Coturnix japonica: one gene and its partner. The protein of the gene in region 1 interacts with the protein of each later gene in a biochemical or structural test. Links are inferred from orthologs where the notes say so. Each region holds a gene or a part of one and is shown on either strand. Other genes may lie near its edges.

What was found. The genes of interacting proteins can lie anywhere in the genome.
Region 2: of the proteins of MYB (region 1) and NLK, one has a biochemical effect on the other in vitro, tested with the Homo sapiens proteins (2 studies listed by BioGRID, with this or other methods). The link is inferred for Coturnix japonica from reciprocal best matches to the Homo sapiens genes MYB and NLK.

Annotation. Positions count from the first base shown.
Region 1 is NC_029518.1:50,403,435-50,407,085, forward strand, and holds part of MYB (transcriptional activator Myb), read right to left. Parts: intron 3,230-3,651; coding exon 2,972-3,229; intron 1,928-2,971; coding exon 1,568-1,927; intron 41-1,567; coding exon 1-40. UniProt on the Homo sapiens protein: Transcriptional activator; DNA-binding protein that specifically recognize the sequence 5'-YAAC[GT]G-3'. Plays an important role in the control of proliferation and differentiation of hematopoietic progenitor cells.
Region 2 is NC_029534.1:8,031,347-8,034,997, reverse strand, and holds part of NLK (serine/threonine-protein kinase NLK), read right to left. Parts: intron 2,908-3,651; coding exon 2,698-2,907; intron 1,868-2,697; coding exon 1,766-1,867; intron 1-1,765. UniProt on the Homo sapiens protein: Serine/threonine-protein kinase that regulates a number of transcription factors with key roles in cell fate determination. Positive effector of the non-canonical Wnt signaling pathway, acting downstream of WNT5A, MAP3K7/TAK1 and HIPK2.

The DNA.
Region 1 (3,651 bases):
CCAGGTTCGGATTTTCGTGATTGGACGATGTGTTTAAGAACTGTAGGCAGGAAAAGAAGAAAATCAGCAGGACCATCTAAATTGTGACGCCAACTTCTTCATCTGACTTTAATGAACAGAAGAAAACATAAGTTATTTCCTTCTCACTGCCATAAGTGACTCTCTTGTCCCTACCATATGGGTAGGTGCGTGTGGAGTACCTGACTATGTGGAAAAAATATATTCTGCAAACTGTCTGATTGGAGCATTCAGGAAGTAAGGACTGACATCTCTATTGTGGGAAATCACAAACAAGATGACACTCCATTCCAAACAGATACTATCTCTACCACTTAAACATCTGATATGGATTTTCTGCAAACAGATTGTAATTAATATCGAGAGCTTGAGGTAAGAAACAAGAGAAGATGAGTAGAGGATGTTTCAGGAAGAAACCCATTGGAAATCAGGTTTCCACAGTTCCATACATTTTTATTAGGGGAATCTAAATACTTCTGAAGCAGTAAATAAGGCAGCTATGACAGGAAAATAAATTTCTTATCATCTCTCTCAAAACAAAGTGCTCCGTTTTCACAACATAAAATGAAATTCACTGCCTACGATGGGAGTGTGGAGTGTTTTCAGCTGACTGAAAAGGAGGTGGAGGCAACAGTTTGGAGAAAATTGCTTCTCCACGAGTTCCACTTGACAGCCAAAAATACAGCTTCCATTTCTAGTACCTATAAATCTGTGAGTGTCCTGGTATCCTTCATTTGGACACTGATTCACCAGGTTACCTGCTGCACTTCACTTGTACCAGATTAGAAAAAAACATGGTATGTATGATAACACGAATTTTACTGGACAAGTGATATGTGATTAAAATACCTAACGCATAATTGGAGATATGGTAGGAGATCATTATCTGCCATCTATACATACTCTTCATGAAACAGCATTTCTCTGACTTTAACATCAAATCAAGGCAAAAACAACAGAAACAGACAAACCAAAACAAAACACCTTTAAATAGTGCTGCAGCTGTGAAACAAAGCAACAGTGCACAAGAATTTCAAAGTGCACACCAGGTAATTGTAAGAGTCTGATTTTCTCTTCATTCCTCTTCCACTCCACCCCACAATTAGAATTTTCTAGTTGTTGCCAGTTTGTCTCACAACCCGAATGCTATTTAAACGCAATTTGGGGTTTTCTAGGTCAATGAATCATACTGTAAGTGGACAGTGATGGAAAGTATTACCAATGATCAGAAATGTTTAAATCTAGTAGCTGAAGGAGTTAACAGTGTGAGCAAAGCAAGCGATTGCAATCCCCTCCAAAGTAAAAACCCAAATCAAAAAGAAAAACCCAAGCTCCACAGATGAATTTGAAAGAAGAAAATCAACAGTTAGCTTGCAGATGATCTACACTCAGCAGCAAGGACTAGGAGTAGTGACGAGATTCAAACATGGAGTGAAATCAACAAGTGCAACGGTAATTAGTCATTTGTTCCAAAGGATTAGTTTCTAAATTGTTAACACTGCAGTGACTTTTGAGAATTAGTAACATCTGTGCAGAAGTCATCATCTACCTGCGAGGGAGAGAAGGGCAGGCTTTTGACAGGGGAGTGCTTAGAAGTTGAGCTGCTGCCGTCAGCCAGTCCCAAGGTGCTACTGGGGCCACTGGCTAAGGGGCTGACATGCCCTCTCCTTTTGCGAAGGACCCACGGAGCCGCACTGCCCTGCGAGGCAGACAAGGACTTTGGTGAGCCAGGAGGGCCCTGACTTGACATGGTTTTGCTCAGGTTTGAGATGGGGTGTCCTGGAGGTCCACAAGCACTGGCCCCTCCATGCTGCAGCTGCACGGCTCTGCCTGAGGTAGCTTTGCCAGCCAGAATGTCTGCGTCTTCAAAGAATTCAAAACTGCTGAGATCACCCCATGATGAAGGATCCTGAAACAACGTGGGAGGCACGGAGCCATAAGACAGTATATGGTGCCACCTCATGAAAATGCAGCACTAGGATACAAAGCTTTCCCAATTCAATTCTGCTTGATGGTTTTTATTTGAGTACTGATACTCGGATCTCTTATTTGTGTTTTCAGTCTACATGTCAAGCATATCAAGCTAGCACCCTAGCAGTGTTGGTGGCAAGTGAAGTCCTAAAGAAACAGTCAGTCAAATGATGTCCTTACTATTGGTTAGTCCAGCATTTTCTGTGCAGAACAAAGACAGAAAATCATTAGGAAAAAAACCAAAAACATGTGCCTTGGACTCCCAACCAAGACTGGCCTCCTCTGAGCCAGCACAACTGCTCTGGAAATGCAAAAGGGTATGTAGCACTGCATGAAGCCGACCCCTCTGCTGATGAAGCAGAGTGCTATCAGCAAACGTATTTGACCATGCCACTCATGTTACACACAGTACTCCAGAGATCATGATGGTAAAAGGCCATGTCAGTGTCACTCAGCTACCTGGAAGTTAAAATCAGTGTCTCCGGTTCTCCACATACACTAGGGCAAACCCCTTTTGCTCTAGGAAGCAGCAATTGATGCTTCAATGGGAAATTTTAGAAAACGATGCAGACACATGATCGGCCACATGTAAACCTACAGCATGTGTCATTTCCAATCTAAGAAAGTATTGTTTCACTGCTTAAAATCTTCCATTGTGTCTCTGCTCTTAGTAGGGAGATGCAGCACGGTAAGAGACTGTTTCATACTTGTAATGTGTCGTTCACTAAGAATCACACTCCCATACCAAGATGCAGCAGGAAAGGGAGACACGCACAAAGAGCAAACACTTCCACACTCAGGGGCTTCACTTACGAGCAGCCAGGTGTTGTTATTTTGGAAGCTAAGCTTCGGATCTTGTAGCAATTAGAAGTTACTCAGAAGAAAAAAAAACACAACAACAATAGTTTTAGGATGGTCCCAGTTCCTCTCCCCTTACTCCTTGACCACACACAAATGCACCTGAGGCGACAGTTTTACTTACGGAGTCTATTAACTGGAGTGTTTCTGCAAATTCTAAGAGATTCTTAACATTATCCAGGATGTTGCTCTGGTGAACAATCATGCACCGTGCGGGGGATGCACTTTCCTCAGGTAAGCAACCATGATCCACTGGCGGAGATGGAGTACAGTGGTGGTGTTCCCCCAAACAGGAAACAGGTGCATTGTCACCACTGGTCCTGGTATTGTCAGCAACCGTGGTGCTGTGCCAGCCGGGGTAGTTTGCTGTGTGGTTCTGTGTCTAAAGGAAGAAGCAAAAAAAAGGAAAGGAGAGGGGGGGAAAAAGGCAGAAGGAACTTAGCAATGAAATTGCATAAGGTGTCAGATGCCACTGGAGGAAAGATAAAAGTTGTTGCATCATCATCTAAAAACTTATGCCTACGAAACAATTGTCAAGATGTTTCCTTTCATCAGTGCAAGACCTTGTTTTAAGTAATATCAGCATTGTGTTTGTTATCCCAAAGTTGCCTCATAATTCACTTCCAGGATTATGAATGTGTATCGTGACTAATAGGGTATCAATTTGTACTGCATTATTCCAAAGGTTCAACAAGTGTCTGCAAGTCACTTTCTGCGAGAAGCAAGAAACGGCAGGGTTTCCCTAGTGAGCACTCAGCACTGTAGAAGGCTATAGGGTTTAGAGTTAGAGTTGCTTTTGTTTGC
Region 2 (3,651 bases), on another chromosome or scaffold:
GCATGAGTCCATATTTTGTCCAGCAGTTCTGAAGGCTCTGGTGGGTTCTGCAACTTCCACCTTCTATAAAAGAACCTTCTGCTTCCTGCTTGCATGTTTATTTTCTAGGGGATGCATTTATATTTTCTCCATAGACACTCCATGAAGCAGTGCTGCTCAGAGGTAACAGTAGACACAGACTGCAGCTTACAGTTTAGCTCCTATAGATAGATTGGTGTATTGGCCATATCAGAAATACTTTATAGCATTTCACCTGCTTGCTTTTTGGCATTCCCATAATTCAATAGATAAAACAATGGTTTCAGTGGCTTGTAGAGAACAACTTCAGCACTGGGATTACAAAACATAAAATAAAACAAAAAAATTTCCTCTTCCCTTTTTAATTCCTAATAAAGCATTTAGGTTTAACAAACAGAACAAATCAATACTGGAGTTCTTGCCTGCCCTACCAAAGGCACAAGTACTGCACTGCAGGAATGCCAAGCAATTATCAAACCATCAGAATTTAAAAACAACATATTCCATAAAGCACCTGGATGCAGTTGTGCACTGCATTTGTACACTGCATTACACAGCTGTACACAAAGTGCATTGAAACAACTGAAATGTTGGGAGCACAAGACAAGAAGCTTAAAATATGCAATTCTTAGTGTGTGCTAATGAACACAATTAGACTTCATTTGTTTGAGAACTGGGAGAGAAAGTCTTAAGGAAATCCTCCTATTATTAACATTAAAAGAAAGAGCGCGTACCACAATGTAGGGAATCAAGGCTGCCTAGGAGGTACAACTCGCACGTTAATAATACAGCACAAGATATATTCAGTGCTCATTTCTATGGTAACTACCATTGTGGTGAGTTGACATTTGAGAAATTACTTCTATATGGAGAAAATAAATATGCAAACTCTACTGGAAAGACCTGATGTATTAACATGTACTGGTTACTCATCTTGTTCATTTTTTACTATCTAACAATCACAAAATTGGCTACACTGGGCGGGCATAATGCTTTACCACTGTTAGGGATTCCTGCTTAGGCATTTCTTTGCATCCGTACTTTACATTAGCTAATTTTGTTTTCCAGGTGGCATAATGGTATCATCTCATCTCATCTCTTTTCCCTGGTTTGGATTTTTATTAACTTTTACACCAGTTATGTTGAACATTGCACCTCAGCTTTCTGTGTCATCTTAAACCTTTCACAAACAGCTCAGGTCATTGCACGGCTGTCTGAGGGGACCTCTGCTGAGGATCTGCTTGACCATTCTGCTTACTGATCCTGATAATGGGCAGTTTCCTCTTCTAACACTCTCTATCCTGTCTGTAAAGTTGTCCCTCTGGGGCTTTCTGAACTGTATTGCCAATTTAATTTGTCTCTTCCCAACATTATCGCTTAAATTAACAACTTCATTCAGAATAGCTATCAAAACATCATCTCCTCAAAAACAGGAGCGATGTTCACCTGTATCGGCAATTCAAACAATATAAATGGGATTCATCAGAGATGCACTTGACAACAGAGAAAACATCTCATTTGCACAGGAGATTGAATAACTGCACTATTAACCAGAACCACCGTCAGTGAACTTAGTAACTCAGTTCACAAGCAGAGACAACTTTGAAATTAGATATCAAACAAAGTATTTATGAATGTCCGTGCTCCAGCCTGAGAATTCAACTGAGATGTGAAACACAGGAATGAGACAGCAGTAGTATCTACACAGAGGAAATGCTATGCCACGAAGGCCAAGTGCAGCCTGTACCTGTTTGTGAGGACCCCTGAGTATGTGTGCCTTGGCGCCTTCGCACGCTGTCCTCATTGCCTCCAGTGAGGGCGTTCCCAGCAGGTCTGTGATCAGATCCAGCTGCAGGTACAGAACATACACAATTGGGATTTCAGGTATATATTAATATGTTTCACTATGATAGCAGATTCTGGAGCTAAACTAACACGTGAACCAGTGCTTTCACTGTATTTTTGCAGAAGCGAATGTATATGTTCCTATTGTGAATGAAAACAAAAACATCCTGTAGGAGTCAAAGTTAAAAAGCAAACAACCAATAAATCCTGCCAGTAGAGAGCTCAGCTCCTTGGTTCCAAGGGTTCCCTCATGACCACCATCCACTCATGCTAACAAGCAATTGCCCAGCCCCCCTCTGAGACTAAACCCATTAAAGCCATTACCATCATTACACAGGCATGAAAATCACTCATTGACTGCTGGCATCAAAGTGAGAAATGTGATTACTGTCTGTACACCAAACGTGTTGCTACACTTGGTGGCTTCTCTCCATCTCAGCTCCACTCCCAGGCAGAAGCACTGCTCTGTGAGGCACCACCAGGTCCATCAGCCCCACAACTCAAATACAATACTGTTATACACTGATGGGAACGTTACTTTCTCTTATTCATAGTCAGAAAAATATTGATCCCATTTACATCACTTTAAAATGCCACAGTAAACGTTGGTACTGCAGCAGATTAAAGGGAATAAAAAAAAAAATCACAAATTTCAAAAGCTAATGACAATTATTACTACTTTTAACAACATCTGGAAACCATCGCTTCAGTGTTACAAAGAGTTTGGTTTCCTGCCCATGAGTAAACTAAGCAAAACAAAAGGAAGTTCAAGATTCAAAATGCATCGGTATAACTAACTCCATCAAACTGTTTTAGAGGGAAGTTTAATGATACCTGCTGAATGGGACTCTGTGCCTGAAACAATATTCTTCGCCCGAGCAGTTCTGCAAAGATGCAGCCTACAGACCAGATGTCAATAGCATTGCTGTAGTGGCGGCTGCCCATCAGGATTTCTGGAGCTCGATAATACTGAGTGACAACTTCCTGAGTCATGTGACGAGATTCATCTAATTCTTCCACCCTGGCCAATCCAAAATCACAAATCTAAATTGAGAAGGTAAATAAAAAAATTAAAATAACCAAAACACTTAATGCGCTTCAAATAGGCAGCCTGGTGGTAACGGAGCATGTCATTCCAAGCCAGCATTTAAATGAATCGGATAATCCATAACTGCACAAGCCAAGGGAAGAGGGAATAGGTAGAAGTTGTTACTTTGTTCCGTATCCATTTAAACTTCCCACCATTTTATTTGAAATCTCAGTATATTTTTAGTTGGCTTTGCAGGACTCAGTCTGAAAGCACACACACAAAAACAAGCACTCGAAGTAAACCCTGGGTTCAGAATATCCCAAGCTAGATCTCATTTGTTCATGGGATGCCTCCAAAACGTTGCAGATTCAGCCTTGTCGCACCCCAGTTCGGGGGATTTTTAAAAGTTTCCTTAACCAGAAGGGTTAAGAAAGCAGACTGACTTTTCCACAATTGGATCGCACAGCAAATCAGTGTATAGAAATCTGTCTTGGTATTCAGCATTGCTATACAGCACACCTGCATAATTCCACAGGCCTAAGAAGTCCCTGTGAGCACATGCACCGCCTCAGAGTGCCTGAGCCCTGGCTGCCAGCACAGCAGCAATTCTGACCCATGAGTCAGAAGGAGAACACAGATGTCTATGTGGGCACAGAAGGAACAATGTCCCAACATGGAACACCTTCGTTTCATTGATAATTTTTAAAGAATCTGTGCGACATTTTTCCCCCCCGTTTAAATTGACTTTACAGGAAAAC